Arabidopsis thaliana: one gene and its partner. The protein of the gene in region 2 interacts with the protein of the main gene of each other region in a pairwise test. Each region holds a gene or a part of one and is shown on either strand. Other genes may lie near its edges.

Evidence for each region.
Region 1: the proteins of DRB4 (region 2) and AT3G15450 interact in a two-hybrid assay, tested with the Arabidopsis thaliana proteins (one large-scale study listed by BioGRID).

Annotation. Positions count from the first base shown.
Region 1 is NC_003074.8:5,210,848-5,214,781, reverse strand, and holds AT3G15450 (aluminum induced protein with YGL and LRDR motifs), read right to left. Parts: upstream 1,799-3,934; 5' UTR 1,733-1,798; coding exon 1,527-1,732; intron 1,437-1,526; coding exon 1,072-1,436; coding exon of another isoform or gene 1,016-1,071; exon of another isoform or gene 975-1,015; coding exon 784-974; 3' UTR 661-783; downstream 1-660. Other genes in the region: AT3G15460 (Ribosomal RNA processing Brix domain protein), read left to right, coding at 20-88, 176-274, 369-503; AT3G15440 (RING/U-box protein), read left to right, coding at 2,428-2,859; AT3G15430 (Regulator of chromosome condensation (RCC1) family protein), read right to left, coding at 3,220-3,549, 3,851-3,934.
Region 2 is NC_003074.8:23,224,928-23,229,454, forward strand, and holds DRB4 (double-stranded-RNA-binding protein 4), read right to left. Parts: upstream 2,586-4,527; 5' UTR 2,520-2,585; intron 2,248-2,519; 5' UTR 2,237-2,247; coding exon 2,006-2,236; intron 1,917-2,005; coding exon 1,535-1,916; intron 1,277-1,534; coding exon 822-1,276; 3' UTR 599-821; downstream 1-598. Other genes in the region: AT3G62810 (complex 1 family protein / LVR family protein), read left to right, coding at 2,836-3,076, 3,174-3,253. UniProt on the Arabidopsis thaliana protein: Double-stranded RNA-binding protein involved in RNA-mediated post-transcriptional gene silencing (PTGS). Functions in the trans-acting small interfering RNAs (ta-siRNAs) biogenesis by binding and assisting DICER-LIKE 4 (DCL4). Required for DCL4 activity.

The DNA of each region.
Region 1 (3,934 bases), about 18 Mb from region 2:
GCCAAGGCTTCCATTGCAGATATCGGTACCTCATAACGAGTCAGACAAGATTGCACGAGGCGATCTGGATAAAATGACTCTTATTGAGGTCAGGCCATGACTATATATATACTAACACTAACTTACATAATTTCTGAAGAATTAGTTGTTGATTGAAGTAAAAACCTGATGACAGGTTGGTCCAAGGTTTTGTTTAAATCCAATTAAGATATTTGGAGGCAGCTTTGGAGGTACAACGCTTTACGAGAACCCATTCTATGTATCTCCAAACCAGGTACTTGGTTCTTCTATAAGCAACTTGATAGATCACATTGCTATATATGATTATCTGTCAGAGTTCTCATATATTCCAATTTCCTGCCTTTTAGATTCGAGCTTTGGAGAAAAGAAATAAAGCTGGGAAATTTGCTAAGAAAATAAAGGCAAAAACAAGAAGAAAGATGCATGAACTCTCAAACCCATTGGAGCCTGATGAATTTACAGACATGTGGAACGATGAATGATAAAAGTCGACCAAAGTTTCTTTTTTGCTATTGTAAACTTCTAAATTCACAAAATCAACACAGTTTTGTCTTTACCACTGCTTTCTTCCCTCCCTCTTATCTATCAAAGAGTGAGATTGCGAATTTATCACACAGTTGTCTAAGTAAAGACTGCTATGTCACGAAGAAGCAAATCAATTTTATTTCTTTATCGTCTTCATAAGGCTATATTTACATAAACAAGAGTACATAAAAAGAAAACGCAACAAAGAAGCAAGAGTTAACGAAACTAGAAGCAAAATCAACGAGAATTAGCCAGCGCCCAGTTAGCTTCACTTCCTCTTCTAGGGATACTATTGATCTTAGAACAAGCATCAACTTTGAAACTAGCTCCACAAAGAACACCTTCACTATCAATCCTCGGCATTGCCTTCATCATATTAGTCGGATGGTCAAAGCTCTTAAGCCCTGTCTCACTATGAAACATACATCCTGCAATAACAAAAACACAAAACACACATCAAGATCTAAACTCAAAAGTATGTTTCTTTCTTTATAGGGCTAATGAAAAACTTAAGTTTTGGTTTACCATTAGGGAAAGGAGCAAACGATTTAGCACAGCCTTGCTTTATGATCTGAATATCATCAGACATTACAACAGATCCGTCTCCAGAAATTCCCCAGTAAAGACTCTCTCCTCCATCAGAACTCAGAGCTGAGAAAACAGAGGAAGTTTGAGTATCGTAGACAACGAAAGCGAAGCTTCCCTCAAGACCTCTAAGAACTTGATCTGCTGGGTAAGGACCACGATCACGAAGTGTTCGATAAGCTTCGATCACAAACATTGCCTCGTTTGAGTTCTTCCCAGATAAACCGTATTGTCGATTCAATGTACAGAGATTATTCAATCTCCCTAGAAACATACAGTAGATCCCATCTAGTCCACAGAACAACCTGAGCAAAACAACAAAACCATTATGAATCTATGAATTGGATTTAGAGATTTGACTTGTATATATGTGTTTTATGTATATTAGTATATACCTTTGACGAAGAGAGGTTTCTTGGCGAGCGTAAGCTAAGACGGCGGAGTCGCCGAAGTTCATAGAGAAAGCATTGTTTTGGTGATGAGAGAGGAAGTCGGAGAGAGTTTCGCCGGGAAGTTTAGGAGTTTTGCCGGAGAAATGAGAAGCCGGACTGTTGAGTTCTTCCGGTGGGTGAGCAAAAGCTTTCTGAAATATTGCCAACATTTTCGTTTTCTTTGTCTTTGATTAATCCAATGCTTGAAATGTGTTATGTTTTTGTTGAAGACAATGAGGGGTTTTATAAAGGTACGAGATTATTATTACACGAGATGCTGACTTGGATTTTAAGATAAGACTGACATGTCTTACGTGTTCTTATCCGTTTCTTTTTAGACAAAATTATTCTGTAGTTAATCTTTTTTTTTAAAGTGTCTGGTAGGTAAATAAACAAATTGTGAATCCAATGATGATTAGATATTTAATCTGACGAGTAAATCTTTTTGGAATGATATGATTTTTTAAACGTGCCACGATAGAAAAGTAGTATGTTTTTTTTTTGTCATGTTGGAAAAGTGGTAGGATATTTTTTGACAGCGAAATAGTTAAGTGAAATATGATTTTGAATATATGAGATATTTTATTAATACAATCATATAAGATATTTTAAATATCGGAATATCTATTTATGGTTCATCGAACCTTAACGATATGTATGAATGTTAACTTTTGTAGTTATGATCAATCTAATTTAATGAAGAATTCCTATTGTAACTATTTCCTAAAATCTCGTATTCAATCCCAACAATTACTCATTCCTGGTTACAATTTTCCTTTCACACAAATATTTTTTATACACTCTCATAGCTTGAAAAACCTAACTCTCTCTTAACTTCTTTTTTTCCCATCATTGCATAGAGATTATGGAGTGTATTGTGGATGATGTATCGGATAGTACATGTATGGTGACGCCAATCTATTATTCGAAAGAAACAACTCAAGATCGTCAGACTTTTTTGTTTGATTTTGAAGTTGTCTACACAAAAGTGCCTGAGCCAAATAGTGATGGAGAATCTGACTACATGTCCAGTAAGGTTAAAACAAGGACTACAAATCAACTTCAAAGATATGGTCGAGACGAGTTCATTGGTCAAGATGAAGAACAAATCAAAGCCACAATCTACGAAATCCTCAATGATGTTGGTGTTCCTCCGTATCTAGGGATCATGAAAACATTTGCTGAAGAAATTCAAAGCATATTGAATTCACCTCTGGAGAAATTGGAGAAGATAAAAGTAAAGATTGAAGTTGTTGCACACATGTTTCCTGAAGATGATGAGATCGATGTTGAGTGATTTATTATTCTTTTGCATCTTGGTCGTTACAATGATTCCTTCATTTGCTTCTAGGTTGTTTTCAGTTTTTTACTTTTACATTCTATAATGTTCTAAAGACTAAGATATTTTGCTAAGTCTTGAGTGGATCTACTATCACCAAGAGTTAAGGTATTTGTTATTATGTAGTTGAAGTTGTAAAACTTCTTAGATTAATTAACTCATGTCATAATTCTCTGCACTAAGGTGTCTGGAAATATCTTCTATTACTCTCACAACTTGAAGAAATCAAACAGATACAAATCAATACAAGATACACTAACCGGTAAATCCAATCTCAATCCGGTTCATACAAACATGGTTGTTTATCTATACCTTGGATCAACAAAGCCGGCTACGAGAACGGCCACAATGGAGAAAGATTTCGGTAGGTTCTAAGCAGCCACGGAGTGAGTCGTGACCAAGCTGAGCTCTTTCGTTATCTCCAAACCCAAAAATGCGACCACGTTGAGTGACCACAATGGTGTGATACAAACCGGTGCTAACTTGAGAGACACGGTGTGGTTTCAGACACTCCAATACTCTTGGCCTAAGAACTTTGTCTGAAACTCCTCTGTCCGGGAACCCAAGGCTTCCAAACCCCATCCACCCAAATCCATATAGTAATCCACCTTCCACCAAAACAAAAGTCTTCCTTTTTCTTGCACACACCTGCAAGTAAAAGCAGAGTCATGATCAGGGCTGACTAACTGATCCTAAACGGAGCAAAACTCCATACAAACAAAGGCCAACACATCCAGCTTCGGTTTTCTTTACCAAAACCGAAAAATAAACTGAATGTTATACTGAAAATCCTCTAAACTAAAATACTTGTGCTAAGTTTTGATTCTAATTGAACTGATCACTTATTAGTTCTTAGAGACCGCTGAAGGTCTTAGAGAATATAGGAACAAGGTGTAAAGGGATCATTATCTCAGACATTGAGATGGTACAGATGGGGGACGAATCTAACCTGGACAGCAAGGCAATTGTTGAGATTGACCAAAACTTGAGGAGTGATCTTGTCGTTTTCGTCTCCATGGCCTAGAGCACCACA
Region 2 (4,527 bases):
GACTACCTTTGTTGCCTCTCCAGACTTTTGTGTTATAACTTCTTTCGTCGAAAATTTAGTCTCACTTCGTTCCAGGCCCGACTCAATATTATTTTGGGTTCTGTGCTAAAAAAAAAAATATCCCCTTTAAACCTTTAAATCCAAAAAATTTTAGTTTACGTGGCAGTGTTTACTGTCTCTTGTAAACGTAATACACTTGTAGTTCTATTCAACCATTGTAATTTTATCTAGAAAAATAAAAATTCCTATAAATTAGGACCCTAAAATTTAAGAGAGAAAATAAGGACTCTGTGCCTTGGCACTGCTGGCACACCCTGCTTCGTTCACAACCAGGATCTGTTCGGAAAATCAGCACTTGTGGGTACCAATATGGACTTAGCTATGTACAACCTGAATGTCTTCCGAAAATCATCAGCACATCTCCGCACCGGTCTCGAATATCTAATATCGTGATGGAATTGCTGTTCCCAAATATTTTGCTTACCTCTACTCTAGTGTCTCTAATTATATTCGGTTATCGTTACAAATATTCTACTTGAAGCGGTTACTTATCTAGCTGGTTTTGCTTATGTCTACATCTTACTATTTAATATTTATTCTGTTAAGCTTTTCCATAATCTATTAACATTTAATCTCGCCTTGTTTCTAATAAACACAATGCTTTAAAACAAAAATTAGTCATTACACAGTATACATACTACATAGCATATTGCTTAAGAAAACCAGAGACGAGAAGCATTCTATTTCTACAAACAGATGAGATATAGCTTACCTTAACATTCTATCTCTACACTTATTATGCATCAAAGATGATGATGTCGTTATGGCTTCACAAGACGATAGGCTATAAATTTATCATCTCTAAAGAGCATCTCCGCGTCTTGAGGAAGAGTTATCTCGGGGTTCCATGGGCGACAAACTACATGTTGGCCAGTTGGTATACTCAGGTGGCCAGTTCCCATTATGAGCTTCTTTTTCTCACTCTCATCTACTACACATGATGATGTTTCACTACCATCGTTTGTGGGATTCTGAGGCATCCACGAAGAACAAGCAGCAATGTTCCTCTTGATACCATTGGCAGCTGGTGCATTAAGAGTAATAACGTTTGTAGGATTGTGAGGTATAGGCAAAGAAGAAGAAGCAATGTTCATCTTCATACCATCAGTAGTTAGTGCACTAAGAGTACCATCGTTTGTAGGATTCTCAGGCTCATTCAAAGCAACGTTAATCTCCTTAGCATTACTGGCTGGTGCATCATGAAGATCTGGAAATTCTGCACAGAATCAAGACTGTAGAGCATGAGTTTTGAATGAATTAACCATCTTGACCATTTAGCATTAAACTGAAATTGGAATCCATTTCATGCAGTTAAAGTAAGGTTGGCTTTCTTATTTCATAGCTGTTTCCTACCTATCTCAGGAAAATACGTCCCTCTGATTGGACCACAAGTTATAACAAAGAAAGAGAGTTTTTCCTTTAACAAACAAACCAACGGATTATTCATGTAGTGTAGTATTCAAAGAAAACTAACCATCTTCATTCACTTTAATCCCCTTTGATGGGGTATCAGGGGTCATCACCACCTTGGAAGAAGGTTGAGAATGGATCTCTTGTGGACTGCTCTTCACATTTGAATTTACATCTTCTTGTCTCTCACTAGGCAAAGTAGGCGATCCGGTCTGGTTCGAGTTCCCATTTTTGATACTCATGAATGCAACTTTAGCAGCGCTCATTTCAGCCAACTTTTTGGTTTTCGCCTCTTCTCCACTGAAAACTTTACCAGCAAACTCAACAGTTGAAGTAAAAGTAGGCGCATGCGATGGACCAGATGTAGCAGTTGCATAAAATGGTAACAGAGAACTCTCTTTCTGTGCAATTTCTTGTAACAGGTTCTTGTAGGCAACATCAATTCCCTGAAACAACAAAAATTTGAAAATCAAAATTTAAACAAATGTTGAAAAAGCACATAACTTGTAGTCCAAAAAGAGTGTGAGGAACTAGCCTCTGGACTTTGTGGCGTCAAAGAAGCAACTGCAATTTTTGCAGCGGCATGTTCAGCCGATTTTAGTGTCGGAAAGAATTCAGAGCTCTGGAAAGTCTGTCCACAGAATGTAACATTACATCTAAATCTAGGAGCATGAGGAGGCCCTTCTCTCTCATTCGCATACACTGGTAGCTCCAGATTATGTTGCAGGGCATACGCTTGCAGTTGACCTTTGTATACATGATCCATCTCTATCTAAACTGGCAGGAATTAACCAAACATAAAGAGATCAACGTGTATCAGAATTTCTCAAACATAAATGGCAAACGAAGAGACGAATTTCAGATTTCAGAATTGGTCAACCAAACATAAAGAGATCAACATGACAACATGTATCAGAATTTCTCAAACATAAATGGCAAACGAAGAGACGAATTTCAGAATTGGTCAGACTCAATGATCTAGGGTTTCGTACAGATCGATAACATCAAAACAGCGAAAGGAATCTACGATTATAAACACAAAATCGTACCTCTTTGAAATGGTGAAGACACTTCGAGGGAGGAAGTGAACAATCAGACAAAGCATTCGCTGATTGAAACTCATCGAGAAACCATAATAAGTATACACATGTAAATTGTCTCAAGGATACGAAAGATTCGGGTTAACCCAGCTTGAACGGGTATGATCCGAAATAATCCATTAATGGGCCAAAATTGGGCTTATTCATGAAAGTTGTAAAGGCCCAATGAAACTCGAAGTTGATCAGAAGGTTGTCGGCGACCAAATTTCTAAATCCAATTTTGGGAGGGAGACGACGGCGGAGGTTGAAAGGGGAAAGAGCAGAAATGGTGACCGGAGAAGCGTTGATCGCGTACAGAGCACTGCTCAGGGCAACAAAGAAATCATTCGCCGGAGATACCGAGATGCTAAAAGCTTCGGCGTCCGAGATCCGTAAGAAATTCGAAGAGAATCGCCTCGTGGCTTCTAACTCCGACATCACTCGCCTTCTAGAAGAGGCGCGTGAAGCGACGCAGTTCATTTCCACCATGATCGTCCAGGCTAAACTCAACGAACGCGGCGGATATGGTTCGTTCTGACTCTTTTTATCTTGCGCACCATCTGTTTGTTGAAATGCGTGAGTGAAAGCTCATATCTTTGGAAATTTGATTTTTCTGTGTCGTAGAGATGAAAGCAAGTCAGGAACACGCGGGAGCTACTTTGGAGCTTCCATCAGAGGAGATGCTTCGGAAAAAATCTGTATGAGTGTAAGTCTGAAATTGGATTACTTCTCCCTTACTCGTTTTGTTTGATCGGGAAAGGTGGATCCTTTTTATGCTTCTCTGTTTGTTTTCTCTTTTCACGGCCAAGTTGAATCAATAAGAAGCTCTTTACATACATTTTTGGATGAGATTCGTCCATTTCAAAACAAGAATTACAGAATTCACTTACATCCATGGCTAATATTGATTATGTTGTATGTTAGACTGTAGACCTCACTTTTCTACTTTTCTTAGAAGCATTGTCTTGTCGTAGAGACCCATCTTTTGTGTCATTCTCAAATCTTAGAAGCCTTGTCTTGTCGTAGAGACCCATCTTTTGTATCATTTTCAAATCCATGTCACTTTTATTGTTAGATTGAAATATAATTATTTCCTACATAAGCTTAGGTTTCGTCATCTATCTAGATTTCCTTGTCCCCGATTGTTTCACAGAGTCTGATGGGAAGTTTGAAATAGAGTTGACGCGAGAAGATTGAAGCCGTGATGGTCACTCTAGTTTTTCAAACCAATAAAATAGAACCTATATTGTTGATACGGGGTCCGAGAAGTATGGTTCATTTTCCAATGAAAACCACTACACAATCTGTCAAGATTTACCCCCATTCATGAGTGTCCACAGCATTTGCTCAGAAGTCCTTTTTTATCATCTCCATTCATGATTTTAAGTTCAGAGTTCTAGCTTTCTCTTATTAGTGTCTCAGTCATCTTCTCGCTGGTGTGCAATCCTTAGATTCTTGTGTTGAAGAGCATTGTTTCATAGGAATCATGTGAATCGTCATAACCACATATACTTTGTTCTCTCAATTCATGTGAGTTTGATTCAATTCTTTAGCTGTATTCATAAATGCTCACGCATTACGTGATTATGTTGTATATAAGAACTCACGCACGTCCTAAAGAAAGTAGCCATGTCGTGAATAAAGAAAAAGGTAACTAAAAAAATGGATTCGAAAAGAGATATGGTCATGGGCCTCATGGCGATGACAAAACTACATAATGTAGCTTTTTCGATGTAAGGTACCAAAACCTCATTCCGTACACAACTAGCTCATCTTCCATTTATAAACAGTTTCATATATACCATATATTCGTAGCCATTGATGAAATAAATATTATCATAGAAGGATTTATACTCACTCTTCTTATCACTTCGTTGCATAAGAGATGCGACAAATTACGTTTTCAATCTTTGTTAAGTCCGCCTGGTAGAGTAAGAATAAGCTCAATGATTAGCAAAACAATAAATAAATAAATAGA